Linked DNA regions of Lonchura striata. The protein of the gene in region 3 interacts with the protein of the main gene of each other region in a pairwise test. Links are inferred from orthologs where the notes say so. Each region holds a gene or a part of one and is shown on either strand. Other genes may lie near its edges.

The links.
Region 1: the proteins of BOLL (region 3) and TFG interact in binary tests that used the Homo sapiens proteins (3 or more experiments, as listed by UniProt). The two-hybrid records come from large-scale screens. The link is inferred for Lonchura striata from reciprocal best matches to the Homo sapiens genes BOLL and TFG.
Region 2: the proteins of BOLL (region 3) and SERF2 interact in a two-hybrid assay, tested with the Homo sapiens proteins (2 studies listed by BioGRID and IntAct). The two-hybrid records come from large-scale screens. The link is inferred for Lonchura striata from reciprocal best matches to the Homo sapiens genes BOLL and SERF2.
Region 4: the proteins of BOLL (region 3) and ZNF385C interact in a two-hybrid assay, tested with the Homo sapiens proteins (2 studies listed by BioGRID). The two-hybrid records come from large-scale screens. The link is inferred for Lonchura striata from reciprocal best matches to the Homo sapiens genes BOLL and ZNF385C.

Annotation. Positions count from the first base shown.
Region 1 is NC_134604.1:438,815-446,818, reverse strand, and holds the start of TFG (protein TFG), read right to left. Parts: upstream 3,003-8,004; 5' UTR 2,882-3,002; intron 613-2,881; exon of another isoform or gene 589-612; 5' UTR 508-588; intron 1-507. UniProt on the Homo sapiens protein: Plays a role in the normal dynamic function of the endoplasmic reticulum (ER) and its associated microtubules. Required for secretory cargo traffic from the endoplasmic reticulum to the Golgi apparatus.
Region 2 is NC_134613.1:24,446,456-24,452,596, forward strand, and holds SERF2 (small EDRK-rich factor 2), read right to left. Parts: upstream 1,205-6,141; 5' UTR 1,141-1,204; coding exon 1,134-1,140; intron 939-1,133; coding exon 830-938; intron 730-829; coding exon 666-729; 3' UTR 519-665; downstream 1-518. Other genes in the region: peptidyl-prolyl cis-trans isomerase FKBP8-like, read right to left, coding at 1,692-1,859, 1,989-2,066, 2,145-2,317, 2,388-2,605, 2,739-3,084, 3,196-3,430; PDIA3 (protein disulfide-isomerase A3), read right to left, coding at 5,966-6,085. UniProt on the Homo sapiens protein: Positive regulator of amyloid protein aggregation and proteotoxicity. Induces conformational changes in amyloid proteins, such as HTT, driving them into compact formations preceding the formation of aggregates.
Region 3 is NC_134610.1:28,184,684-28,192,394, reverse strand, and holds the start of BOLL (protein boule-like), read right to left. Parts: upstream 3,003-7,711; 5' UTR 2,997-3,002; coding exon 2,868-2,996; intron 2-2,867; coding exon 1-1. UniProt on the Homo sapiens protein: Probable RNA-binding protein, which may be required during spermatogenesis. May act by binding to the 3'-UTR of mRNAs and regulating their translation.
Region 4 is NC_134627.1:6,449,631-6,457,490, forward strand, and holds the start of ZNF385C (zinc finger protein 385C), read left to right. Parts: upstream 1-4,849; 5' UTR 4,850-4,937; coding exon 4,938-4,974; intron 4,975-6,643; exon of another isoform or gene 6,644-6,728; coding exon of another isoform or gene 6,729-6,744; intron 6,745-7,860.

The DNA.
Region 1 (8,004 bases), on a different chromosome or scaffold from region 3:
TGACAATATTTTGCATTAAAAAGATGGAGTATAATGCTATCTTTAGACTGCAATTAAATTTCTGGGGGTGTTGGTAATTAACTTAATGCAAATCAGAGATTTCAGGCAAAGCCCTTTGTTTAGCCCAAAAAGATACAAGCAATTATTGAACAAAACTCACTCTCCTCATCACACGTAAGACGAGGTAGATGGATACAGCCTAATTGCAGGGAAAAGGGACCAGCAATTAACACAGCTATGCTGCTGCTGAGGCACTGTGATGAAACTGTGAGGTTTATAGTATTGTTAATGCTCACTAATGCAATCTTCGGGTTTTGCAACAGGAGTCTTGACTGCAGGCACATCAACCCAGCCTAATTAACTTTAAATTAGATTTAAAAGCATACGATTTTTGCACAAGTTGGTTGGTAGTTGAGATTTTTTTAATTTAAGCATTAAAAAATAAAACAGTATCGACCCACAGGTTTCCTTTCATTTCCTTTCCAAAAAATATACGTTTATCATTACCTTATCTGTCTTAGTGATGCTGGATTATTGGACAGTTTTCCCACCTCACTTCAGGACACAGTGAGGGTAAGCCGCCATGCACTGTCAATGCCAGAGAACAGTAAGCTGCATCAGAAAATAAACATATTTACAGTCACACTTCCCTAGAATGACACAATTCACATCCATCTTTCACTTTAGAACATCTTGGTGAATATACTCCATTTTAAAAGCCCTTGCTTTATCCATAATGTAACAATCAGATTTACACTTTTGAGTATTGTAGAATTTGCATTGATCTAAAAGAAATCTTGAACAAGACTTACAATTTTGTAATAGAAGATTATTTTTTTTAATTTTCTAATGGCATGTAGGAATTCCTAACAGGAATGTATTCCTTTCCAGGACTAAGATCAAGAGATGATTTGGCATACAGAACAGTCCAACAGGGAACACACGTGGCTCCTCCCTCTGACCCCATGGGTGAACCCTCCTGGCAACTCCTCTCTTTCACATGCACAGCCAATTTCAAAAATCCATAATCTGATTTTTAGATGTTTCACTGCTAACCAGAGGAAAAAAGTAGGTTCCCCTCTATTCACATAAAGCTGGGCTTCCCAGCTCTCCTCTTTCAACTCAACTGGAAGCAAACTGGAACATACAGGACGAAGGCAGAGAACAAGCAAACCCCAGAGAAGACACAGAGGTACTCTCTGGTTCTCAAAGGCTGGCAGCTGCTTCCCTCATCCTGAGTATGCAGTGCTCCTCTTTAAAAAGGGTTGTTCCTGTTTCTGACAGTGACAGACTGCTGTGACACGCTAAGCAGGGGAACAGGAAGAGACTACTTTTCTGCTGCCTCACTCATGTTTTATGAAAGGAGTAAGGCATGAGGATAGTGCCCCTTTCACCCCAGAGCTGCTACAGCTCCAGGTACGTTTACTGCACTGGACAAATACAGATAAGGCATGGAAGAGTGGTTGAACCAAAGAGTTCATTTAGCTACCCCCTCACATTGTTTAAGCGTTAGTCTGGCCAGTGGTTTTGCTTCTTCAGCATTACAACATATGCTACTCAGAAACTGCTAACAGTAAGAATTGAACCTCATCTCTATGTCCTAAACATAGACACATTTTGGTGGACACAGCTGAACTCCTGTGGCCTTTCAACAGATTGAATGTATCGTTCATTTCTTTGTGCAAGGAAAGGAGCTACTGTAATGCCTTATTTAGCAGCATTACCCACAGAAACCTGCTATCCATCACTGACTACGAAAAGGTAGCAGAATAAATGCACTTTTTCTTGGTCTAGCTGTTCTCCACTCTGCTTGAAGGTGTCCAGATTTAAAGACACAGATTCTAAACATTGCAGCTGCTTGCAGCTGTTACAGAAAACTGTGTGAAATACTGAAATTGCTGAATTACACAGCACTGAAGCTTCTTCCCTCACTGTGACACAGCTGAATGGATGACTCCATTGAGACGGTTCTATGGAGAACACATCCAGAATGCACACTAATGAGCTTTTTAACAAAATCAGTGTCTACTTTCCTGGGCCGGGGAGGAACCAACCAACCAAAAAACATTTATGTCTCCGTCTTTCAGACTACAGACTGCTTCCCGTAAGAATCACACTGACATCTTTCTAACCTTCCTGGTGTACACTGGCATTTTGCAGGTACAGCCCTTTCCTCCCGGCTCACTTTCCATTCACATCATGCACTGATCTAAGTGCTGCATGGGGACAGGGATTGCCCAACCCGGCCCAGTCACTTCAGGATCCCCTCTGAAAGCGGCATCTCAGGACCATGCTGTATCTCACTACCCTCTTTGCACAGCAGCAAGAAAAACAGCCTTTCCCAGGCGAGGGAAAGACAGGCATTCCTGCCGCAATCTTTTCTGTCAAACAGGGCTAAGCATCAGGGTGCCGCCGACAGGAACACGAGCAAGCAGGACTGCCTCCCAACGCCGCCCGGGACAGAGCCACGACTTCTCCCAGGACAAGCGCGGGGAGCAGAAGGGAGGAGAGCTCTTTTCGGTTTGCTGCCGCTGCCGTACGGGCAGGCCCGGCCCGAAGGGGAGCAGAGATCACAGCCGGTCCCGGCCCGGCAGTGAGGGCCGGCAGCCCCGCAGGAGGGCGGCCGGGCGCCCTCGGCCGCGGGGCCGTGCGGAGCCCGCGACCCGCCCGCCGGGCCCTCAGCCGCGGCCGCCCCGCGCCCTCAGCCGCGGCCGGCGGCACGCCAGGGGTCTCCCGGCCGCTCCGCCAGGGGCCGCGCCGCCCGCCGCCCCGGGAACGGCGGGGCCGGGGAGGGGGCGGCCGGCTGGCCCGGCCCGAGCTGCCCCTCTGTCCCTCCTTCCCGCCGCTCCCGCACGCGGTGCAGCAGCCCCAGCTCTCTTACGGTGGCTTCTCCGCCGTCCCGCCGGTGCAGCCGCCCCGAGCAGCGCCGCGCGAGCCGGCACGGCCGCCGCCGCCCGTACGTGGCAGGGCAGAGAGGAGCGGCCGCAGCGAGGCCGGGCCTGCCCAGCCGCGCCTGCGCGCTGCGCCCGCGGGGCGCCCCGCCCGGCACGGCGGCCGCGCCTGCCTGCCCGGCCGCGCTCCGCCTCAGCGCGTCCGGCCGGATTCCGCCTTGGCCTCCGCAGCCTGGCGGTGCTCGGGGAGGAACGGGGCCGTAAAATTCCCCTGGGCTTGTTAGACGCCCGTACACAGCAGCATTCATCCTCGAATGGTCCCGTCCGGGCACTGGTTACTCCCGCGGCCGCGCGCACCCTCACAGCCTCTCACGCTGCCTTGCGGTCAGAGCTTGTCCCCCTAAGCGCGAAAAAACATGGATCTGCAGCGAGGCTCCTGAGATTTGTCAATGGGAGATGCGGGAATGGATCCCTAAGGGTGCCTCTCCCAGAGCTGCAGGACACTCGTGGATATTTGGGGTTTCTGGTTTAGCCTGTCCCAGAGATGCTGGAAGTGGAGAATACACAGAGATATTTGGGGTTTCTGGTTTAGCCTGTCCCAGAGATGCTGGAAGTGGAGAATACACAGAGATATTTGGGGTTTCTGGTTTAGCCTGTCCCAGAGATGCTGGAAGTGGAGAATACACAGAGATATTTGGGGTTTCTGGTTTAGCCTGTCCCAGAGATGCTGGAAGTGGAGAATACACAGAGATATTTGGGGTTTCTGGTTTAGCCTGTCCCAGAGATGCTGGAAGTGGAGGACACTCGTGGATATTTCTGGTTCAGCCTGTCCCAGAGCCCCTGGCACTGGGGGACACTCAGGGGTAGTTGGGGTTTCTGGTTTAGCCTGTCCCAGAGATGCTGGAAGTGGAGGACACTCTGGGATATTTGGGGTTTCTGCTGCCCGTTCTGGTTTAGCAGCAAGGCCGCGCTGTGCTGGTGCTCACTCAGAGCTACCGAAAGCATGATTGTGCTTCGTTATTTCCTGGTGTTAAAGAGTCCTCTGAAAAGACATCTTTTCCTTTAGTATCTGTTTTCTTCCAGGACAAGAACAATTTAAGAGTTGTTTAATTTTTGTAGTATTTGTCCTTGCTGAGAGCTCTGTCCCTGCCTAGAGCAGGGTCCAACTAGCAGTAAGCAGATTTCAAATTCTCACCTCCATTTTCAATGGAAGCAAGAAAAGATGGACACAATACGAATTTTAATTCTAAACATTTCATGAAGGACGAGGGGCATGTTTCATGAGGCTTCTCTGCTAAATGTTACAAAATATTTAGAAAATATTTGGGTATTTTCAATGAAAAAGTTTTTGCTTTAAAGAATGTGGGAAAAATCTGGAAAAGTGGATGTTTCCATCTGTTATACTTTCTGCCACTTGTGTTGTGTACCTTTGTACTGATGATTCAGTCCTTCTCCAATCCATTTCTTTATCAAAGCAGTGTTTCCAAAGTGTTAACAAGAAACTTTGTGATCCCTAAAGCCCACATATCACAAACAATACCAAAGTTCACTACACTATGAAGATAAATATATTCCACGTGTAGATAAAAGCTGAACTATTGTATTTATTGTTATAATCCTGTAACAATTTAGCATATTACCTGAAAAACATCATTTTAATTTGTTCCATTTCTGAAATTAGGATTCCCTACATGAAAGAAAAAAAAGTCATGAAATACATAATTGGGAGGGGTGGGGGGGGCTTTATGCTGAAAGTGTTTTATATTAAGCAAGAGATGTTCAGTGTTGGCAATAACAACATTTTATTCTCATCTGAAATACTTAGAGACAAGATGCTTCATTATTAAAGGAAGTCAACACTTTCAATTCCGTACTTCAAATTCTTGGATTTTGACCTTGTTTTTTGGGTAATATGGAAACAATATTTTTATTAGTTTTTTTAAAGAGCCGTTCAAAATTAAATAGGATGTTCTTTAGGGAATGCTTTTGTTTGGGGAGAAAAAAATATCAATTATTAGAAAATATTATCGCTCATTTAAGGAGTCATCCTCACAGTGCCTAGCAGTGTTTTATAACACAATCAAGTATCATCCTTCCTAAACCACGTAAATTTCTAAAGGGATATTTCTGAAGGAATTTGGAGGAATTGACAAAAGCAAGCATTATACATTCGATTTATAAATAAAAAATGGATGCCCACAGATATTAAATTGTATAGAGAAAGATTTAATAACTTTGTGTGTGTGTGCTTCTAGGAAGAAAAAGGATTCATTAATGAAAAATATGATTAGCACTATCTTTATAGTGGTAGTGCTCAGGATCACCTGAATGATTGGCTACCTCATGTTAATAAGTAATGAAAAAACCATTCTTGCTTTCCGTTTTGTGTTTTGTGTTTTGAATGCTACCCACGTATAATATTTAGCAATTATGAGACTAATAATTGAGATTTAAAAACAAAATTTGACTTATTTGTTCTACAGCTTGATAGAGGGTGGGAACTTGCTAGAAAGCAGTCATAGGGATTCAGTTTTTTTTCATAAACGGATGCTGCTTTGTCACACATAAAACTCTTCCCCTTGTACAAATAAAGGTGGGATTTTATTTCAAGGTCAACACTGAAAAGACTGTTCTTTCTGGGTGGCTTCTCTTATACCAAATCATATATGAAATGATTTTCAGAAAGAATAGCAGGAAAAAGTTCTTCTGCAATAGTTGTTGGAGAGAGTCCCAGGGAAGTAACAAGAGCTTAATGGCTTGAGGCCTTTCACAGGGACACTGAAAAAAGCCTTCAGGAAAGTTTCTGCCTCTTCTTTCCCCCCACAGCTCTGCTGGATTCTTGGCCTTGTATTCCTATAAATGCATCCTTCCATAGAAGGCATATGAAGTACTTGGAGTAATGGATTCTTCATTATTTTGCCTCTGGCTATTTTCTATAAAACAGCTAATTGGAAATACGTGAAAATCCACCCATCCCCAAACGTTAAGTTGTTTATTGTCAGTTTGACCTACTGAAAACTGAGTGCCTGTACACCAGTGACAATCAGATCTGCAAACTCTGTGCAAAAAGTCCTGAGGTGATCATACCACACTGATGGACAGATTACTCCCAGGATTAAAAACTGAAGGTATGAGCAGGAAACAGAGATCCGTTTATTTAAACACATGAGCCTCCTTTTTTTTTTTGTTTTGTTTTTTTTTCTTTTTTTTTTGACTCAAGATTCTCCTGTTTAATTCTTGAAATGAGAATTTAGAAAACCAGTATAGAAATGTTAAAGCCTTTGTTCCTTTGTCTGAATCTGACTGAAGTGCTGATATGGCACACCACATTTAATGCTTATGGCATCCTCAGCCAGGTTTTATCTTCATCCTATCCAGATGAGAGAAATAATATGATCCTGAGACAGGCTCCTGACACATGCTAACTAATCCACTACAATGTGCATTTATAAATACACTGTGCATTACACATGAGACTTTCTGAGTGTCTTCATAGAAGTGTTTCATCAGTCCTGAAAAGTCCTCCATGTCTTGAAATCCATGCTGTCTTATGAGGCAGAAAATAAGCATACTGGAGCATTGATACACCTCTAAAGAGAGCAGTCATGCCAGAAACAAGGCTCCAGAAAAAGTAGAGAAAATCATTAAAAGTTATATAGGACAGGTAGTTCATACTTTTTTTTTTGAAACATTCTCTGAAAGTGAAACATTCTCTGAATGTTTCCTTTCAGTTTGCAGTGTTGCTGCTAACTGCTGTACTGACTTTAGAATGTGTTCTTTACTTAATAAATAATACATAAAAAATAATATCGGGCACTCATTGCTTTTGGACGTATTCAAAGCTCGGGCTGGGAACCTCTAAATCAGGAATTTAAGTCCATATGTGCGATCACCATAACTAAAAGATTTTTTTACTTAGTTGGCAGAAGCAGATTGTTGAATGCTTGATTACTGTGAAAATTTCTCCTGTGGTGCTGTGCCAGGGACCAAGCTATCACTTCCAGTGTTTTATCAGGTCAACGAGAGCAAGCTCAGGTTATACCCGTAATGTGAGCAGCAACAGGAGATTATTAAACCACGTGGCACTAACCCAGAGACACTGATTCTAATTGCTCTCTGCAGATCTCCTATCTTTACAGCTCTCCCTGAATGCACTCTGCACTGTAAAAGCTGCCCTATGGACAACTTTAAATCTTTCCCCATCGATTACTGACGGGGTAGGAGGAAACGTCCAGGCAGCGGCTGCATGGCTCTGAGCAGCACAGGTACAACAGTGCAGGGCTGAGCGCTGACCACGGAACGTTGCAACAAGAAACGGTGCAGCAGGACAGCCAAAACTGCACCGCCGCAGCTGCACCGCTGCAGCTGCACCACCACAGCTGCACCGCCACAGCTGCACTGCCGCAGGACACCATAAATCACAGGCACGTCCATCAAGAAAATTTGCTGCAATTGGGTTTGTATTGAGTCATTCACACACAAAAAACCAAAACAACCGAACAGTAGCACAAGCCAGCTACTGCCTTACTGCCTAGGAAAAGAGAGAAGTGTTTACACATTGCAATAGCAGGGGATGGCGAGGTCCTGCTGGTGGTGGAGCACTGTGACCCATTCATTTATAAAGCCTAGGACTGAGGGAGTGACCTGAGAAGCTCAGTGTGCATCCCAGACCTGGGTACCCCGGGTTGGTGTTGTCTCTGCCTGGCCAGGGCAGTAACAGAGGCGTCACCGAGTCCCAAGCCGTGTTGTGTGATTTAGCTACTTTTGAAAATAGTATTTGCTAGTCAATAATATTGCACTGTGTTCCAAACTAGCTGATTTTAATTGTTTTCCTCAAACTACACTCAGAACAAAATATTGTAACTTAGTGTAAAATACTTGCAGTTTAAAGTCTTCCCTCTTACCTAGTATTTGAAACAAAAGGGTAATAACCAGACCAGCCATGGACAATCCAAACCAATATATGAAATATAATCCAAAGGCTTTGCATATTTATATTTTATCTGAAATGCCCAGAAAACCAATTGTATCAGTTAGATGAGATGAGACGAGATAAATTTCTTTTTAAAGTTTCTGTTTCTGGTTGCACGTAGGAACAAGAATGTTTTAGTAA
Region 2 (6,141 bases), on a different chromosome or scaffold from region 3:
GCATCTGGCCCGGTGAGGAGCCCAGGCTGCCGCGGGAGCCGCCGCTGTGCTGTCGGATCGGGCTGATGCCACTGCTAGGGCCCTGCAGGGAGGTGAAAAGGCCGACGGGCACCGGCCTCGGCACTGGGCCGGATGTCGCCGCCGCCGGCCGGGCAGCTGCGGCTAGGCCCGCCCCGGCCGTGCCGCAGCGCGGCCCTCCCCCGGTGCGCAGGCCCGGCCGCCATCTCTCCACCGCCGCCCTCCGGCCGGCCCGGAGCCCCGGCTGCGCCCCGGCCCGCTGCGGCGCCACGCCGTCCAGCTCCGCTGCTCCAGGCTCCCCGCTCTCCCTCCGCCCCGGGGCGCTCGGCCTTCAGCCCCCGCTGATCCCCGGGTGCTGCCCCAAGGGCCGCCCAGGTCCGACCCCACCTTTGTTCCTCGCCGTCGAGATGCCGCCGCTTGACTCCCCGCGGCCGCGATTGCTCCGCCAATAGCCGTGCTCACCCACCCCCCGCCCGGCGCACGGACGAGCAGACGCAGCGTGCAGGGCTCCACAGCTACTTTAATAGGGGACGGCGCCACCGGGCGCGGGGCGATGCCGGAGGTCCCGGCGGGACCCGGCCTGGGGCGGCGCGGGGCATCCTGCCGGCGGGACCGGCCCTGGGGCGGCAGCCCGGCGCGGCCGCCCGCTACTTGTTGCCCTCCTTCTTCTCGTTGGCCTTCTTCTGCTTCTGCTGCATGATCTCCGAGTCCCTGCGGGGAGCGCGGCGAGGCTGGCGGCGGGGCCGGCACCACCGCGGGGCGGGAGCAGGGAGCGGGGCAGGGGAAGCCGGCGGGCCGGCCCGGCGCTCACCTCTGCTTGCGGGCGGCAGCCGAGAGCCCGTCGTCCCGCCGCTTGCCCTTGCCCGAGTCGCTCTGCTTCTTCAGGTTCTTCTGCCGCGCCAGTTCGCGCTGGTTCCCGCCTGCCACAGCGCGGCCACCTCAGCGCAGCCCGGCCCCGCGTACCGGCCACCCCCCATACCCCGGCCCGACCACCGCCCGCCGGCGCATCACGGCGTGGCCCCTGACCCCGGCCCCGCCGCACTCCCGGGTCCCAGAACAGCCTCCCACGACACCTGTCAGCCCCAGCCCCCTTTCCTTCCTTCCCCCCAACTCACGGGTCATGGCGCCGCTCCCTCCCACCTCCACTCCACCGCCACGTCCCGCACTGACCCCCCCCGCGCCCCGCCCCGCCCCGCGCTTTAAGGGACGCCACAGCCAATCATTGCGCCGATCCACCCCCCGCTGCACTCCCATTGGCGCGTCTCTGCGGCAAGGCCCCGCCTGATTGGCCGCGGGCTATGGCCTCCCTGCTGCCGGCGGGGGCGAAAAAGCCGGAAGGTTCGGCGCACGCGCCGCAGCCGCCTCCGCGCGACAGGATGCGGAGCGCGGGGGGACCGCCCCCCGCCGTGACGTCACGAGGCGTGCGGGAGCGCTGCCAGGCTGGGAGAGCGGTGCGGGCGGTGCGGGACGGGGCCGGCGCCGTCCCGCCCCTCCCTCAGCCCTCCCCACGCAGATTTCTTCTCCTCCCGCGGGAGTGCGGGGCGATGTGGGGAGGACGGTATGAGAACTCCTCTATCTCTTCGGTCAGGCTCTGAGACGCTGCGGGGCCGCTCAGATCTCTCCTTCCGCCGAGGGCGGTGCGGGGGATCTACAGGGAGGGACGGCTATAAGCGCTATGCGCGCCAAGAGGGTGCGGGACGGGCATCCGTCCCTGCACAGCCCAATTCGCCTACGCACGCGGGGCTCGGCGGCGGTATCGGGTCGTGGCGGGGATTCTGCGGGCCGGTACCGGATGGAGGGCTCTGGCGCTTCGCCAGCCGTGAGAGCTCGGTGTGGATCACCTACGGACGAGGTGCGGCTGCGGTGGGACACCCGACCCACCAAATGCTGTAGGATCCTCTTCCTCCCCGTCGCTTCAAGTACCAGGTGCCGTAGGACCACCGCCCGCCCTCGCACCCCGCCTCCCACACCTTGCTGGCCGGGTCCAGCTCCAGGGCTCTCCTCAGGACGAGCGCCGCCTCTGCGTCCCGCCCCTGCTCTGCCAGAAGCTGCGGGGAGAGGAGCGGACGGTAGCTGGACGACTGGGCCTAGGGGAGCGGGGCGATGCGGAACGATGCGAGTCCCACCTGCCCGCGCCGGACCAACGCCCGACCGTTGTCGGGGCTGATCCGCAGGGCCGCCTCGCAGGCCGCCAGCGCCTCTTCCGTCCGCCCCAGCTTCAGCTCGGCAGCCGCGCAGTTGTTGAGGCACTTCACACGCTGCTCCCGCAGCTCCTCTTCCTCCTCGGGCCCGGGCGGAGCTGCGGGGCGAGTTGCGGCCTCAGCGCCCCAGCTCCACAGCCCCGGGCCCTCCCTTCCGTCCGGTCTCACCGGCGGCGGGGCCGTCTAGGGCACGCAGGGACAGCCGGTACGATCGCAGCGCCGCGGCGAAGTCACCCCGCGCGAAGTGGAAGTTGCCCCGCTCCCTGCGCTGCGAGCCCAGGCGCAGACGGACGGCGGGTAGCAGCGGCTGCGGGTCGGGGCCGTCCCGCACCTCCAGCAGCGTCACCTCGAACAGCAGCGGCGCCTCGGGCGGCACGTCGGGCTCCCTGCTGGTACAGCGCCGGCTGCCCGCGACCCCTGCCCTGCCGGCGCCACCGGCTCTGGTCCTGTCCTCGCCCGTCCCTCTTGCCTGCCCGCCCCGGTCCGTCTGCCCTCCCGCCCCCTGCCCGCTCGCCTTACCTGCCCGGGCGGCCATAGGCGTAGGGGAAAGCGGCGAGGAAGAAGGAAACCTCCCCGGGCTGCATGGTGGGGACGCCCAGCTCCAGAGCCTGTGGACGGGCACGGTGGGGCTGGCGGGTCGGGGCCCACGGCGGCGCTGAGCTCGCACGGCACTGAACCGCGCACCGGTTCGGGCTCACCTGCACGACGTCCCCGTGACCCGGCACGAAGATGAGCCGCGGGTCCCGCTCCACCAGCCCGCCGTCCTCCAGGGCGCCCAGCAGCTTCACGGACACCTCTTGGCCCGGCAGCGGCCGCGGCCCGCCCAGCCCGGCCCGCACCACGCGTTTCCGCAGCAGCCGGTCCTCTGCGAGGGAGGAGGCGCTAAGAGCCAAGCCGGGAGTCCCGAAATTGGCATTCCTTGCTCCACTCTGTCCGGTCCCGGCCTGGGCTGGCCCTGAGGCCCGTCGGCACTCACCCGTCAAGTCGCTCCAACTGTCGGAAGCGAAGAGCGGCCCGAAGCCGCCGGGCCCCGGCACTGCCAGCGCCTCCAGCCGCCGGTAGAAGAGCTGCTCCTCCTCGCGCACCGACGGCACCGCGATGGCGGTGTGAGGCAGCCGGAACCGCACCCGCCGGTCCCGGCCAGGCCTCCGCGGCCGCTCGCCGGCCCCCGTTTCCCTCTCCGGAGAGCCGCCGGGCGACGGGCCCGGCATGTCCGCCCCCGGCCCCCCTCGCCACCCGCCGCTACCTGCTGGCCTCGGTCCGGGCCCACGCGGGGTTCGGCGGCGGGTGCCCACGGCCCCCAGCCCGCACCGGGCGTGTCGCCGCCCGTCCCGCCGCGCCGCGACTGCCGGGGGTTGCCCGGGCCGGGGACACCGCGGAGCGCATGCCGCCGCGCCGTTACCTAATGCCGGGAAGCAGCTCAGGGGATTAGTCCGGGTCGGCGGCAAAAATAGCTGGGCCAGGGCGAGCCCCGCCACGGGGCTCCCGCCGCCCGCCCCGCCCGCTGCTGTCGCGCGTTCCAGGCAATGCCGCGGCCCGGCGTCTCCGGTACCGAGGCTGTGGGCCGAGTCTCTGGCTTATCCCAGCTACCAGCGTAAGAATCACTTTGAATGCCTCCATCCAAAGCTGTCTCATAGCAAAAGCCTAATTCTGCAAGAAGCGAGTCCTCCCAAGCAAACTGTTGCTGCAGTTTTTTCCTTGCTCATCCAGACCTGTCTTTGAAGGAGCGCCAACTGCTCCAGCTCTGAAACACCTGGGGCTAGCTCATTCCCAGCTCCGTGGAGGGCCATGGCTGCATGGGGAGAACCAGAAACAAAGACCCGATCTTTTGCTAAAGCCTGAGCCAACTCGGGGAATGTGTTACTTTAGGTGGTGGCTTCCCCCTTACCCAGGGCCAGCTCTCCATGCAGGTCTCACTGCAAGCAAGGTCTGTAGCCACCCTGTTTGCCAAGTGTTCCAGGCATCAAATATACAAATCCTTCATCAGATGCCTGTTTCTCCTCAATTGAACCTTATTCCTTCAATGCAGTTGTAGCATAGTGAGGGTTATCTAGGCAGCCACCACCACAACCCTTCCTCATCCTCTGTCCCTTCTGCCAGAAAGTTTCCCTAGGCCTGTGCCAACTTCACCCAGGCTGCTCTGAGCACCAGCAGTGATGCCCTGGGCCAAACATGCTGAAGAGTTTTACCTGTGTTCAGTGCCCCAGCTGCCACCAGGTCAACAGTCACAGAGCAGGGAGCAAAGCCAGGATTAGAACCACGTCCCTAGCTCTCCTTGGCTTGATGGAGAGCACTGTCCTGCCCAGCAAGGAAGCAGCATTCCAGTCTGGTGTAACATGGGTAATTGCCAGCTGTCAGGGGAGCTTGCTGTGTTCCTTTTCCTTGCAAGAGTGCTCCAGACAGACAGGTGCAGGGCTCCTGCCAGTCTGTGCAGGGACCACTGGACATCACATGCTCCTCCAAAGGTGCCTAGACACCCGCATGCATTAGGGGCAGAGCAGCTACCACAGCAGCAGAGCACAAAAGGGAAATGTGGTTTGAGATGCTAATGGAGCTGCAAAAGAAATTGTACTGCAGTTACTGTAGTCAAAGAAGTACAGCCTAAGCCTTGCATGAGCTACTGTATTTGGAAAACTCCAGCACCACCTGGGCTTTGAGCTGTGGGGGAGGAAGCCACAGAGAAAGCAAGCTCTGGTTCTTGCCATATTACCTGCTGCCATGAAGCAATACTTTGAGTGTGCTGACCCTCACTTCAACTTGCATTTAGTAAAGGAACACAGAATCAGGACAACAGCTCCTACCTGGTCCGCCCATCTCTTTCCCGCCCTTCCCCAAAGGAAAGCGGAACACCCTCAGATGGTCAGTCACAGCCCACACCACATGGTCTACTCCTATCCTCCTGAAGAGAGACCCACAGCTACCAGCCTGTTTCTCAGCGTGAGAAGGAATAGTTAACTGGTTGTATTCGCTCTCACCACAGCCAAGCACTTGACTGTAACAAACACCCTTGGCCCTGGCCTACCTGTGTTTGGGTAGAGGCTGTAGATAGTAACACTCCTCTTATACCAAACTATTCGTGCACCAGCTTCAAAGCTGATTTTCTGCTGCTGATGAGCAAGGCCCTTGCCAGTTTGCTCCATATGCCTGCACTGCTGCAATCCAACAGTCACAGTGAGCACCATGTACCTCTGAACTCGCTAGGGCAGCACACAGCAAAGGCATTTGTGACCACAATTCCCCAGTCCAAAATGTGTGTAAATACAGCACCCAAAGCCCAACACATTGGGATAGCTGTTGCTGCTACATTCTGGAGGGGCTTGGGCAGCTAAAGAAAGAGGATAATGGGCTGAAAGCAGGGGCTAGGAGGGCTCACTGTAGGGAATAACTTGCAGCAGGAAGCTGCTGCCTATGGAGAACAGGAACCCATTGCTAGGTCTGATGGGTTGCCCCAGGACAGGGACATTTGGTCTTAAGGGGGTCATTTTATTGTTTCACTTCTCCAAATGTACAAAAAAAATTAGAAAATAACTGTACCCCCACCCCTCTGAAACCACAAAACAAACCTGGGGAGCCCCACAACAGTGCAGCTAAGAGACGGCAGGAAATTAAACATTACTAGATACAGCAGCTGGGGCTCCTCTGCCCGCATGGCCACTGGCTCTCCACAGCCCAGAACTGGCCCCTATCTGACCAGTGTTTCCCCGATTCATATAGAGCTCCTCCTGACAAGGTGGCAAGCAGGTACTTTACAAATCCTCCTTCACCTTCTTCTTGGATTTCTTGGATTTCTCTTCCTCCTGCAGCACAGGAGTGTTGGTTGCCTCCCGCTTCAGGTAGCTGATGAAGTCACTCACTTCTCTGCCCCCCTGCAGAAAGCAAGTGACAGTCAGGCAGAGCTGTATCCACCATGGACTTCCCCTTT
Region 3 (7,711 bases):
TCTAGTACAGTAAATCAAGAGGGGAAAAAAAAATGGTAAAGTTGGTTTGCATAGTTATTCAATTAATTAGTTCAATATTTACTTTAAGACTATTAATGGATGTATTTTGGATGAAGTTTGCTACAAACTAATTATAACCCTGCATATCAACACAGAAGAATAAGCAAGTATGAGCCTCAGGGCTCACTTAATTACTGCATTAATTATTCAACAATAATTCTAGAAACTTCTCATTAGTAGATTTATGTAACAACTGTCCTATTACAGTTCAGATCAATGAAGCAGGTGTACTAGATCCAAATTTTAGTTTATGTTAATTACATGCTAGAGCAGTTTACAGTATGAAAAATCACTGCCATACTTTCAACTGCAACACAGCAGAGCATGTAGATATACACAGGTCACATAAATCCCCTCAAACCACAGTGATTTAGTGATCAAACCCATTGAATATACCATGATCCCTCTTTCTGAAGTGGTTTTAACATGAGAGTCTGCAAATATGTACAGGCCCACTACACGAACTCCCCACTCTAAGTAAGAAAATGTTATTTCAGTGGAGAGTGGTCTAAGTCAACTTAGAAGGAACTGCCCCCCTCCAAGTATGCAGAGAATAAAACAGCTTTCTAATGTAAAGACTCGCCTAAGCGTTGGGAACACTCCTCTCCTTGTATGAGTATTTTTTTACAATGTAAGCATATATCACATATGATGCAGTAAGCATCACATTTGAGTTTTAAATTTTGTTCTACATAGCCCTTAGTTAATGCTACACCTAACACCGGGAAAAGCACAGTTATATGCTCACACCATTCATCTATACTTCTCCTTAACTTCACGTATACTAAGTACTGTTTTACTTCTAAGTTAATGACTTTGAGTGTTTGTATAAAATGGAGGGAATCCTCTCCAGCACATCAAAGGTTTATGTGCCTCATCCAAGTTGAAACCATTCGGTGCTCAAGCTGTTACCCAAGGACATAAGGGCTTGCTACACAGAACTATGAATTTGGAAAGACAAAGGTTTATGTGCAGAGCAGTGCATTGCTGAAGAATAAAAGGAAATGCTGTTCTAAGATGCACAGTGACATCTGCAAGCATCTGTAAAAACATAATATTTAGAAACTTATAAGAAATACATGCAGGTGCTTTTTCCTGCTTATGATAAGACACAGACACTTGTCAGATCCTTTAAGGAGAGTAAAGGCTTAGCATTAGCCTTTGTCAGTGACACACGGCTGCACCACTAAAGAAAGAGCTCTTCAGACCAAGATGAAAATGCTCCCAACTCTACCTTCCCTTGCTGAATTGTTTCTCTAAGTTTGAGAGACCAGGTGTTTCCTCTTAAAAATAGGAATCACTGCCATGGTGACAGACAAAATCATAAAGGAGCTTGTTAGAAAGCAAGTTAAGTTTTTGTTGATTAACTGTTTCCCTTTCTCACAAAAATAAAGTCAATAGCTTTTGCATCACCCCAGGTGACTTGAATAAGACCTTTGACTTAAAAAAAAAATACCCCCAATACTTTTCCCCATGAGATTGCCAATAGAAAGCAATTCAAGACTGACATATAAACCCTATGAGGACTAGATCAGAAATTTAAGGCTGTATTTGATATAAAGAATCATATCAAATGGAAGCGCAACTAAAATGGCCATAGAGGGTTTCATCCCTTCTATTTCCTCTCCCCTCTGCAAAAAAATCCATCTTCTTTATGATTATAAACATACTTAAACTGCTGTTGAAAATACAATTCCATAATAAATTCTGAAGTATCAGCAACTGAACCAAGAGACCCTTCAAAACAAACAATAAGTATGATAATTAATAAAAATATTGATGTTAGACAGAAAAGTAGTTTAACCTTTGAAATTGCAGTGAAAACAGAAGAGAGCAAGAGAGGTCATTTCATAGCTCCAGAAATTTGTTTACTATTGGTGCAAAAAGCCACTTTAATAAAGTCCAAATATACTGAAGGTCTTGTACATCTTAAAATATGAACTTCTCTATTTGAATTATCTCAGCCAAATAAACGAGAAGATTCTGGAATTTCTTGCATTTGTTATGCAAAATAGCCTGAGTGAATTATCAATTCTTGTTCCTCTTCCAGTGAGTCAGTACTCAAAAGGTCTCAGCCTAAGAGGATTAATGCAGGGAAGATGCTCTTGATAGGAACAAAGCAACAGCTACACAGATGAAGCACGGAGCACGTTTTGCAAGTCAATGCCTTAATTAATTATCTAAGGTGGGAAGAGAGAAAAACCTTAAGCTTATCACAAAAGCAACTGAACAAGGTAAGACTGGTGCAATGTTCACTGCTATTTAAAGATTTTAGGGAATATACAAAGGCAGGAGCATTCTAGGAATTAAGATCAATACTGCAAAATACCCAGAGAAGCTTATGTACTTATTTTAAAAACAAACTCTTGCGTTTAAGAAAATTACTATGGTGAGGAATATACACACTGTAATTCATTGTGTGAACCAGAAGTGTTAGAGGAACAAAAGCCACGGATCTATGAAACATTGTGACAGTTTATTAAATTACACTAAGTGGAAGACATAAACAAAATGTTCTACATGCTTTTCTGCCATCAGCTCTGCTGATGCCAAAAGCTATCTTCTATGAAAAAAGAAAACTCTGAAGAAGTGTCAAAAGCTTCTAGCAGCTAGGTGTACAGAGTGATCTTTGTAGGACAGTTATGCAAATTAAGGCTTAAAGCTTTATTCTCTACTGTAGGTTTGGCCATTAAAGTGAAGAGGACTTGCCAACTAAACAAATACACATGACTGTGTCTCTCTTTTTTCCCTGGTGATTTTTATACAGTTATAAATTACAATTTAGCAGCAAAAAGAGGGAAGAATACCTTAAAATCGATTCCTCCAACAAAGACACGATTTGGAATAACTGTTCCAGACCTTGGAGAACTGATCAGATTATTTAACCTCACCGGTGACGCAGTGTTGGGACATGAAGGTAAAGATTCTGTTTGCATCTGATCAGTGGCCTGATGATTCAAAGAAAACATTTTCAAAATCTTACACGTTATTTATCAGTAAATGAAACAACTCTCAACAGACAATACATACAGATTTTTTCAGAAGACACAGCAGATGCTGAACATTTACCATGTATTTTTATTCAGAATGTAGTTCAGTGTTTAAACACAAGCTCAATCTTAATGAATTCAGTAACTTAGTGAATACGCTATGGTCTGAAGTCCAGTGTTAAAACCTCTTCTAAACTGGACATCAATCTTGGTTCAATTTGCAAAGCACCCTGCTGCATAAATTTCAGTTATAAATTCTATTATACAATAGATCTCTCTACTAAAAGTCCTTATTTTAAACCTATATAGAATGGACATTTTAAACTCAATCTGTACTCTCACACACAGCTGTACGACTATTCTCTGCAACAACCTCCAGTTCATTTTCCAAGTGCAGAGCACCCATAATTCCGCCACATGAAATCAACAAGCTCCACACACCCAATGAGAACAGGTCCTGAAGACTGGTATTTTAATTCAACACCCTGTTGGCCTACAAACACATCACACAGTGGTCTGAACAGAAATTCCCTCTGCAGAAGAGCAACCAGATTGCTCTTGCCCCAGTAAAAGGATATAACACAATGGGATGTCATAGAAACCATTATTTGGTGAAGCCTGGCTAATGTTTTAACTTCCAGCATGCTTACACTTGCGAATCATGAAACAGTTTAATTGTAAACTCTTTTCAAAACAAAATAATACTGCCTTACAAAGTCAATCCTAACTGTGTAGACGATAGCCAGAACGCAGCCATGTAGTATTGTCACTAACTTCTCAAACAGGATTATTTCAGTTACTCCTACTAATTCTAAGTAATGGGTTAATGCCATTACTGTGGATATCTTAAAGACAATAAATCCAGCTTAGTTCACACAATTTAAGTTTTAGAGAAGACACAAGTCCTTTCTGAATGTACGGAAACACAGACAGAGGAAAACCTGAGGTTGTTAACCTGGTCTGCTCAAGAGAATCTAGTATGCACCTCTCCTCCTGGGAATACTACTCTAGAGTACTAACCTGAACAAACCCTACCTCTAGTAGGCAAGGAGCCAACACAGTCACTCCCCAGGAGGACTCGCTTTTGCAGCAAAGAACTCCTGAGGGACAAAGCAGGTTACATTCTCTACCTCTCACACCAAATACAACACCCCAACTGCACGATGATCTGGCAACTGTCTTTAGCACAAAAACTTCCAGATTCAACTATAACAATTAGCAGCACAACTGAAACGTACTCCTTACTTCAAAGACCCTAAACTGCATTGTCTCTGTACATATTTTAAGAGTTGATATATTAAAATAAGGCAGAAATGCAAATACCTCAATGGAAGAAATGAGGAATTAATCACACCACTCAGGAACTCACAATACTGTAAACCACAGTGGGTTTTAAGTGTTATGTGTTAAAATTTGTATTGTGATAACCACCTCTTTATCAACAGTGTGGCAATAAGAAAACAGTATTAAAAAAACCAAATACGTGCCATCAGCACATCACTTACTTCTAAATATTTATTTCTACTGCTCTGTAAGCTTATTTTTTATTAATTTCCCCAAATAATACGGACATATACATTTATCAATATTTTAATCGATTACTTAGTGCATCTGGTTCGTTGGCAGAGCCGCCATATTCATTTTTACACTGAACACACCCACGGTCAGACAACCTAACTCCAGGAAGGGCTGGTGATTAAGCGCACTTCTCTCCCTAAACACCTCTATCTTCCACAGCCCGCGTGCTGCAAGGTCCGAGCCAGACCCCGCTGCCCCGGCACCGTGTCCCGCACACCCGGGGCCGCCAGCGGCTTCTCCACAGCCTGAGGCCGCTGCACACAAAATGGCGGTGCCGCGCGGGCGGGCGCGAGCCGGGGCGCCCCGGCGGGACGGCCCCGCCGCCCTCCCGCCCTCCCGCCCTCCGGGGCGGCTGCCCGGCCCCGCGGCCCCGCCGGGCTCCTCACCGCGCCCTCGGGATCCATCGGTCCTCGCAGCCGCCGCGGCCCCCAGCACGTTCGCGGCACGCGCTGTGCTCCTCAGCTCCGCCTCGCGCCCAGCTGACGCGCACCAGCCGGGGACGGGCCTAGAACGGGCGGGGCCGGCACAGACCGCCGGCGGCGCTGAGCGCGACGGAGCGGCCCTTCCACGCCCCAGCGCCCCTCCGCTGCCTTCCCCTTTCTCAAATCCCTCTCCCCGCAGTCCCCGAGTGCTCTCACGGGGTCGCTGCGACGGGGCGGCCGGGCGTGCTCCTGCCGCGGCAGCGCCCCGCCTCAAGGCCCCGGCGCTGCCGTTACAGCCGCGGCTCGCGGCCGCTTGAGCCGCGGCCCCGGCGGGCGTCGGGCGGCCCAGCCGCTCTGCGCTGCCCTCCCCGCGGGTACCGAGGCGCCGGCAGCCTCCGCGCAGCAGCAGCGGGACAGGAAGGCCTGGTGGACCTCGCTCCCCGGGGGTAGCGCTGAGGAGGGTGCCAGTACCACCCTTCGGAGCCGTGCTTGGAAGCTCTGAGTCAGCCCAGGAACCTCCCTCCAGCGATTTCCCCATCACCTGCGGAGGCAGGAGACAAAACCCAGCTGGGTTTATCTTCCCGACTAGGGCGTGCAACGGGGTGGAAAACAGGGTAAAACATTTTATCTGGCCTCTGTGGGAGAAATACAAAAATGCCCAGGGACGCAGTTACCTGTTACCTGGCTTACCAGGCTGTATTTGCATGGTGGTCAAAACATAGTTTAGACTTAACAGCTATCAACGTGAAACAAAAGTCCTATTTCAACTCAAAGAGTCTTCCTGAGGTCTCCAAAAGACTCTTGAGTAGGCAGACTAGCTTGAAAACAGCTGTGGGTCTGGGATGACCTTGGAGATAAAATTTCTGGTTTGCTCAAGAGAGCTGGAAAATAACACAATAATGACCACTCCCCAAAATACTCCAACTGAAAATATTCTTTTTTCCACCCTCAGTGAACTGGAGGACAAGAATCAATAGTTATGTTTGTGTGAAGTGTACTTCTGTGATCGTTCACTGAACAGCGCTACAAGCTGCTCTCCTGTTCCATAATTTCATCCCACCTACAAATGCATTTGGTCCTTAGACTATCTCTGGTATTAAACAGGTCTGGTAAAAAGAGTCATTCAAATGCCAAACTTATAATCAATGCAGGTACAAATGTGCAACCTGATAAAAACCCCTGATCTGATGACAGCAGGAGCTGGTATGCAGACAAGTGTGTACTGAGAGAACCGTGCCAGTGGAAAAACTGTTTTTGAAAGTGATCAAACATGCACAGGCTAAGTCACTACAGCTCAACTTCAAGACTCAATGCCAGGATCACTACTATCATTAGTTACTCTCATGGTTTATGGGTTTTTTTGTGCTTTAAAATAAAGCGTTCAAGAATGAGTATCTTGAAAATGTCTACCTTATATTTTAGTTGAATTCTAATATTTGTATTTGCTTTATGTACAGTATACCCATCCCACCTAAACCAAACAGCCCTTCACATCATGTAAGTCTCCCTGAGGCACAGCACAGACTTGTAGTCCTTATGAGATTCTGCACTGCTCCTTAATTTTTTGGTGTTGCTACACTACCTATCAGCTTCTGCAACATTAGTCCTATCACACAGAATAACAAACCGCAATCCTAGAAGTTTCTAATAATCCTGTGCCTGTAATATATAAAAATATAATGCTTAACTCTTCCTATTGGTTTTGGGTTTTTTTTTTAGCTAAGAAAATTATATAAAAGTAAAGGCAATTTTAGCAGAGCTGATAAGATTTTTTTAGAAGTACTTTGTGAGATTACAGAACTCTGCTGAGTTGCATTCATTTTATGAATATTTATCAGACAGCAACAAAGCTTATCCTGAGAACAGCACCATATTTTAATGATGTGAAAGGCAGAATAGCCAAAGCCTTTCATTTGCTTCATGTCTTGATTTGGGGAATTTAAAGTGAGAACAGCTGAAAGAATAAACAAACATTCAGAGACATGAAAGTGTATTTTACATAGTTTTAATTGTTGTATCTTCTATATTATACCTCCTCCTTTAGTTAAGAAAACCAAATCTGGGATATTTACATTTAAAATAAGACAGTTGTGACAAAAATAGGACTTTTTCAAATAAATGAAAAATATTGAGCTATTTTTTACTGTGATGCTTTAACACTGAAAATTCAACACACTGATAAATGTAGCAAGATTAGGAGTAGAGCTGGTAAAAAATACTGCCATGCATACAAGATTTGAATATCACAACAAAGGCTGCTGGGCTGCCCTGGTACTGCATGGCTGCTTCATTAAAGGAATTGTTTCCTGGCTGAGGGAGCCACTCTCAAAGGAAGTCAGGAGTGCAACTGGTTTTCCTGATTCCACATGTCAGCAATATATACAGCATGAAATTATCTCCCCTGCTGTTATCTCCCACAAATTAAAAGGCAGTGCTGGACAGGAAAAAGGCAGTAAAAAACAAGAGTCTGACTATGCTGGTTCCTGTAGGTTTTCACCTTTCATCCTTTTTTTTAGCATCAGAGAAAGAGGTTGAGGAAAAATAAACCAAAGAAAAAGCAAGAGAGAAAAACAGGGAGAAAAAATTAATTGGGAGAAAGAATTCTCCCAATTAATTCTCCCAATTCTGGGAAAAGAATTCTCCAGGCAGAAAAAGACAAGT
Region 4 (7,860 bases), on a different chromosome or scaffold from region 3:
TAATTAATGTAGACATCAAGCCCCATCTCTGGAATGCCTGTGAGCTTTCATTTATAATTGGGAGGTAAGTCAGGAGCTAGAGGCTTGGCTCTTATCAGTTTCATTTTAATTTTCCTCCTACAGCAAATGAAGCTGGTGCAATTCATCTCTCATTAGGAGGAAGCACAAAACTCCCCTAAAATAACAGTTTTATGGGGAACAGGTAATAAACCCATCTTTGTTCCTCTTCTTGCCTTTGATAATGTTACTGGGGCTCACAGATCCCTCCGAAGTGTTGCTCTTCCTTAAAAATAAGTCCATTAAAAATTAAAACCACTTTCCTATATAATAAAATTTACTCCCTGCAATTATGCAGAGGAAGCAGTTATCGGCCTTCTGTAGATTTTAATTAAAAGTTACAATAGGAAGGAAATAACAACGGCCATAAAATAACAGCAGCCTCTCCCCTACCGATGATTTATTGGTGCCTCTGTGGCTCAGGTGCCTCTCCAAGCGATGCCCGATGCTGGTGAGAGGTGCTGGGGCCAGCAGGCTCCAGAGCAGTGCAGGGAGTCCCTCTTTTCCTCCTGCAGCTGTGGGGGAGTTCCTGCACCCATGGGTGCCCAAATGGGTGCTGAGCTCAGCTCTGACCCATTTGTGCTCTTGTTTCTGCACCCCAGTTAGAGAATGGGGGTGTCCTGCCCACGGTGCCCGGTGCCAGGGGTGGGGTTAGGGTGAGGTTTAGGTTTAGGGTGAGGGTTAACACTGCCCTGCTGATGTGGCTGTGCAGATCCTGGGGTGCAAAAGTCCAGCTCTGTGGGGCTGGGGGGGCACAGCTTCTGCCCATTCAATCCCTCAGGGCACGGGGGTCCCAGCTGAGTTCATCCAGCATCTCCGAGTCCTTCCCTGAGATGTGTGTTGTGGCAGAGTGGGGCTGTGGGAGCTGCATCTGCCTGGCCCAGATATTTTGCAGAGCTCACAGAGAGACCATCAAAGGCGGCTCACACTAAAAATAGCAGGTGCCCAGGCTGGCACAGGGGCTGCTGGTGGGAACGTGGCTCCTCCGTCACCTGCAAACATCTGCTGATGTGGGAAGAGCTGCAGCAGTGCAAAACCTTATTCCATGTCTACAACAGCTCCTCCAGAACGCAAACCTTTGCTTTTGAGGACACCTCTGAATTCAAACATGGGTGTTTGTGGGGTCAGTGCCCCTCGCCCACGCTGGCTGTGGGGTTGAACTTCCCATCTGGCCATAGCTGGGTCACTGCTAATTGAGCTGATGAGAAACAGGTGAGAGCCAAACGCTGGGGCTGGTGCAGCTGCAGTCCCCTCACGTCAGCTTTTTGCTCTCCTGGCTCTGGAGCTGCTGTGGTGTCACATCCCACACCCCACAGCCAGGTCAGCAGCGTGTCTTGGCAATCAAGGTGAATTGAGGCACCTGGAGCCCAGCTGGGCCCCTGCAGCCAGGCTGGGCTGGGGAGCAGTGCTGCCCTGAGCAGGCTGCAGGCAGGGGCACTGCAGCCTGCTCAGCTCCCCGTGGGCTGGTGCTGCCCCGTGCTGTCGTTCCTTTAACCAGTTACGGCCGTCAAGTGTTCCACTTCTGGTCTCCTCATTGCCTTCCCTGGATCCTGGCTGTGAAGGTGCTAAACCCCCCCTGATCTGGCTCTGAAGCGTTTATGAAATCTTTATGGCCTTTTGAAAAGATTTTAATTCCCTGACAGCGCCGCTTTCACTGGGAAAAAAAAAATAAATTATGACTCAATGAGCAATTACAGCTCAACAGCTGCTGAACGGCCACGGCAGCTGCCGGAGCAGCTTGGCACGGCTCAGCGCGGTGGCCGAGGAGCCAGAGCCTTCCTGGGAAGTGGTGCTGGGCCTGACCACCCCACATTCACCTTCCTTGGCTGGCTCAGCCCCTGAGCACAGCCCCTCCTCTGCCCTCTGTCTCCCACGGCCTCTGTACCCAGCAGCTGAGCTCTGCCTGGCGCTGGCCGAGGAAGGAGAGAGCTCCAACTGCACCTGGAGAGATGGGCACTGCAGCCAGCTGGTGCTGTGGGACCCCTGTGGGTGTTGCAGGAAGGAATCCTCCTTCCCTGGGGTCCTGTGGTGATGTTTCCCCCCTCTCAGCCCCCTAAATTATCAGGCTAGCCCACAGGTCCGAGGCTGTGAGGGGAGGAATATCAGGAGATGGCAAAGATTTCCAAAAGAGGCTCTTACTCCTGAAATACTTGGTTCAGCTCTCTTTATTCTGTGATGTCCATAGGGACAGCAGGGCAAAAGAGAACGAACAGGAAATGTCAGGGGTCTGTATAGAATTTGGACAGGGTGGGCTTCCCTGGCTCTCCGCCAACCCTGTCAGGGCAGGAAGGAGGGGTCCAGGGTTATCCTGATCAGAGTCACAGGGTCCTGGGAAAGGGGGCACAGAGTGCCCATGAGCTCACTGTAACACTGTGGTTCCACATTTGGGATTGGCAATGTCTCGAAGCATCACGTCTGGGACAGCTTGTCACACCTACCCATCGCCTGTCCCACTGGAGAGGTGCCACCACAGTGTCCCTGGGCAGTGCCAGCACCTCCCTGTGTGGGGGCATGTCAGAGCTGCCAAAGGATGCAGAGCATTGGTCTAATTGTAAAACTCCCTGTTTGCTGGAAGCAGAGCTGCTGAGCTCCAGAGGCATGAAGAAAGAGGAAGTGTTGCTCTGACAGTGCCCATTCCTTCCTGGCAGTGCCCATTCCCTCCCAGTTCCCTCCCTCCTGGCAGCACCCCATCCTGTTTCCTCAGAGGCTCATTTCTGCTGCTTCAAGTGCACAAAATTGCTGCACAGAATTGAGAACTGGGTCGGGAGAAATTTTGTGAGCAACTACAGTGTGATGGAGGGGCTGGATGTGCTGTGCCTTCTGCTGCTCTGTCCCACGGCACTTCAGGGGGCTGCAGCTGGAGATGACCTTCTCTTTGTTTCGAGTTTTGTCTTCGGCTTTGGAGATATCTGCAGCAAACCAAAATGTTTGAGGGTGACCGTGGTCTTGGCACAAACAGTGTCTTAGGGATGAAGGGCTGCCCTTGGAAGAGGGAAGCCAGAGTTCGCATGGAGGGGAAGGAATGCATCCACACTCCCCAGTGCTGGAATGCTGGGAGCTGTGGGTCAGCCCTCACCTCATCCCTGCACTTCTTGATCCCCACACCTGGCAGGGGAGTACAGTCCCTTTCCTGCATTTTGCTGGAGGCAGGAGGAGGCTGAAAGGCTTAAAGTAAATGAAAAATGTGTGGAGAAGCCCCAGCCCTGCCTCTGCTCCTTGGAGAAGAAGGCTACACCATCATCATCAAGCTCCTGACAGCCAAGGTACAGTAAAGTTTGAGATCCATTAGAGTGCCTGTAATTATTTATAGGGAGGGAAAAAAAAAACCCATCCTACATTGTGAAAATCAGATGGCACAGCAAACAAATGCACTGAGCTTTGGCAAAAGGGCTCTGAAAAGCCAAAGTGATTTATGGTGAGCCAGGACAAGGCTCAGTGGTGCCACACTGCTGCTCCTGGGGACCTGAATCTGACAGCAGCGGGGCAAGGGACTTCTGGTGTGGACAGGTAGGATCTGCTGCTCCTGGGCCACCTGCTTGTGTTGCAGGATCTCCAGACCCAGAAGTAGCTCAAACTGGGACTCCCCGCTCCTGGCTTCTCCCTCCCTGGCAGCTGGTGGCCCTGGAGCCTCCTGCAGGTGTGGGCACCTGTGGGCTCGGAGGGGTTTGGAGCAGCACGTGCTCTGCCCCACTTCTGCAGCCTCCAGCCTCTGCCAGCGGCAGCTCGGGGCCGATCACACCTCTGCCTCTTGGCACCAATTCCGTGTTTTAGTGGAGGCAAAGCAGTGAGCAGGCAATTGCTCTGGCAGACAGGAGTCCCTGGGTACCTGCTCCAGAGGAGAGCTCTCGGCCAGAGCACTTCCCTCCCAGCTGGGCTCCAAAGTTCAATTAGCAGTTTTGGGAAGTGCTTTGAGATCCTCTGCAAAGTGTCCTGGCGGAGGGCAAAATGTGATTATATAACGTGTCTAGACAGCGTATTCCTTGGGGCGGGCAGCAGGATGCTTTTATATCTCCTCTCCTGTGTCAGCACTGTGTGGCCCTGCTGAAAGGTTCTGGGAGCTGCTAAAATATTAACAATGATGACAGCGACAGGCCAGCTCAGACTTTTGCACTTAAAATTGTTGATCTTAGCACAAGGCTAAGCATGGCAGCAGAGGCGCCTTTGCCCGGCGGCACCGTGCGCTCCCGCTGCGCTGACTGAGGAGCAAACAGCATCTCCGGGCAGGCCCCCTCCCTCCATCCCGCCCTCGGTTCCTCTTCAGCCTCTCGGAGGTTCTGCCCGAGGTTCTGTCCCTCCCTGCTGGGCCAGGGTCGGAGAAGGGGTTCTGCCATCCGCAAAGAGCTGCAGCCCCCGGCGATGCCACCTCCGTGGGGAGCCGGGCTGTCTGCTGCCGCTCAGGGTGCGGGACTGGAGACCCTCGTCCTGAGACCTGACCCGCCATTCTCCGGGGCGCTGGTCGCACACGGCATCTCAGTACCCTGAAATTCAGGTGCCCTCCCCACAGCCCCGCGGTGTCACCTCCCTTTGCGCTCCTAGCCGCGCACCTTACCGACCCCCAAAGCCCCTGGGAAGAGCCTGGGGAGTTGCCCTGTGTTCCCCCAGTCCCAGCCCGGGGCAGCCGTGAGCGAGAGCGGGGAGGATGCCCCCGAGCCCCTGCGCCGCTGCGGGATGCAGCTGCGGGATGCAGCACCGGGATGCGCCGCCGCCGTTCCCCCTCCCACTCCGTGCGGGAGCGCGGCGCCGAGGGGGGGTTGGACCGCGGCGGCGCGCGAGCTGCCTTCATCCCCCCCCTTCCTCCTCCTCCTCCTCTTCCTCCTTCTCCTTCTCCTCCTCCTCCCCGAGCGCGCTCGCACGGCCGGGAGCGAGAAGCCGCCGGGAGGATGCTGCAGACGGCGGCGGAGCCGGGCGGCTGGGCAGGTAGGGCGGGCGGGGGCGGCCGGGCTGCCGGTACCGGCGGCCGCGGGGCCGGGCTGCGGACACGGGGAGTTGCAGGCTAAGGAAAGTTGCGGGAGGGGGGAGATGCGCTGGAAGGGCCCCGGGATTCGGGATCGGGGCCGGATGATCGCCCGGGGCAGGCGCCGCTCCCCGCGCTCCATCCCGGCGGCGCCGGGCAGCGGGGCAGGGGCGGCGGGGATGGCGGAACCCCGGCCCCGCTGACCACCCGGAGGGGTCAGGCTCGGAGGGAAACTTCTTGAGCGGAACTTTACCGAGGCCCCGGCGCGGCCCCGCTCCGGCGCGGGGCTGGGGTTCCCACGCCGAGCGGGACCCGCCGGTGCCGGTAACCCCGGCTCGTCCCCGCCGGGTGCGCGCACCGTGGGGTGCAGGCGTGGGTCCCCCACGGGTGTGTGCGGGTCTGGGGTCTGCGGCAGCACCTGGGCGTGAGCGGCGCTGGCCCGGGTATGGGGCTCTGAGCAGCCCTAGCCCGGCTGTGGGGTGAGCAATGTTAGCCCGGGTGTGGGGTGAGCGGTGTTAGCCCGGCTGTGGGGTGAGCGGCGCTGGCCCGGGTGTGGGGCTGAGTGGCGCTGGTTCAGGTGTGGGGTGAGCGGTGTTAGCCCGGGTGTGGGGTGAACAGTGCTGGCCCGGGTTTGGGGTGAGCAGTGCTGGCCCGGGTGTGGGGTGAGCGGCACTGGTTCAGGTGTGGGGTGAGCGGTGTTAGCCCGGGTGTGGGGTGAGCAATGTTGGCCCGGGTGTGGGGTGAGCGGTGTTAGCTCAGGTTTGGGGTGAGCGGTGTTAGCCCGGGTTTGGGGTGCGCAGTGTTAGCCCGGGTGTGGGTGAGCGGCACTGGCCCGGGTGTGGGGTGAGCGGTGTTAGCCCGGGTGTGGGGTGAGCGGTGTTAGCCCGGGTTTGCAGTGCCCGGCCCTGGCCCGGTTTTGCGGTGCCCGGCCCTGGCCCGGGTTTGGGGTGCCCGGCCCTGGCCCGGTTTTGCGGTGCGCGGCCCTGGCCCGGGTTTGGGGTGCCCGGCCCTGGCCCGGTTTTGCGGTGCCCGGCCCTGGCCCGGGTTTGCGGTGCCCGGCCCTGGCCCGGGTTTGCGGTGCGCGGCGTGGCCCCGGTGCGCGGCCCAGGCGGGGCAGGGGGCGGTGGAGCGGTGCTCGGCCCCGCCGGGCCCGGCTGTGCCGCTGCCGTGCCCAGCGCACCCTGCGTGTGCCCCGGCTCCTCGCAGAGCTCCCGGAGCTGCAGCGTCCGTGCCGGGACCGGGACTCGAGGAGCTGAGCTGGGAACGCAGCCGAGGCTCTGGCGGCCTCCACGGGACTCTTGGCTCGGAGGGAAAGGACCTTCAGAGAGCTGCACAAAAGCGCTTTCTGCTGCCTGTGGCTCCGGGTGGGAGCAGCGGGATCCCCTGCTCCAGGCATGTGGAGGCAGAAGCAGATTGACCTGGTTCTCCCCTGGCCATTACCAACAGACTTTGTTGTTAGCTTGGAGCAGCAGCGAGTTATGGTGGAAGCTTTTAGGGAGTTTGCATCGGGGTGGGCAGGGCTGGGGCTTGCTCTGCCCCAGAGCAAACCCCACGGATCCCGGCACAGGGACGTGCCTGTGCCCGCCCCTGGCAGCGCCGTGGCAGGGCGGTGAGTGCCGATCCTGCGGGATGGGCGTGTGGGAAAACAACATCTTGGCACAAGAGGCTGCGATTTGTTTTCGGAGCAAGATTTGAAAGTGCTGCTTAAATAGAAGAGATGATTCTCTGTGGAGGTGAGCAGTCTAGAGCCTGGAATTGCACTCCTGGAGGCTGTTAGGGGCTTCCAGGTTCATTCACAAGTGTGCAGGGATCAGCTCACTGGCATATTGCTGCTAAAGCTGCCCCTGCAAGGACTGGATGTGTCTGTGGGTCCCACAAAGTATGGCAGCACCTTTTCCCCGCAGGGACGAATTTTGGGTGGAAATGTGAGGCAGGAGCTGGCCCTGCCCTGCTCAGTGCTGTGCGCACATTGGCTTCATCCCCTGGTTACCTGGGACCTCTGAGTTGGGAGTGGAGATGTTTGTGAGCTGCTGTGTCTGCATGTGGGGCACGGTGCCTGAAAACAGCACCAATGGGCAGTGTTACTGTGTGTGACAGCCTGTGGATAAATGAGCCTCTGTCCCGGCTGCCAGCCTGGCTGGGAGTTTCTTCAGCCACCACCATCCAAATCCACCACCACTGCCTTTTTTTCCGTGACTGCAGGTGTTTTCCAGTGGAGCATCCAGCCCAGAGGCTTTGCTGAGTGATGTTTGTCACTTGGGTGGAAGGGCTCCGTGGGGATGGAGGAGCCGTGTTGGTCCCTTGGTAGCTGCCAGTGTGATTCTCTGCCATATGCAGAGTTCAGGGCAGGGTGCTTGTTCTTTAATCTGCCACATGCGTTGGAAAAAAAGGCTGGTGTGACCCTGGATGTGGCTCCGGCTGTGAGCCCAGAGCCAGGCTCTGCGTTAGCAGGGCTGTGGCATCATGCCAGGCTGTGACTTCTGCTGCGAGTCTCGTACACGAGCATCCCTGAGCTGGCATCCCTGAGCTCCCGTCCCTGAGCTGGCATCCCTGAGCTCCCACTCCTGAGCTGGCATCCCTGAGCTCGAATCCCTGAGCTCCCACTCCTGAGCTGGCATCCCTGCGCTGGCATCCCTGAGCTCCCGTCCCTGAGCTGGCATCCCTGAGCTGGCACCCCTGAGCTCCCACCCCTGAGCTGCCATCATGCTTGGCCGGGGCTCCAGAGTGGCTGCTCTCGCTTCCCAAGTGCTGCTTAAGTCTGACAGAGCAGCAGGCTCTGTATGGAGAGATCAGGAGGCTGCTGTAACAGTCCCAAGAGTAAGAAATATTTCTGGGGGCTTGTGGCTCGC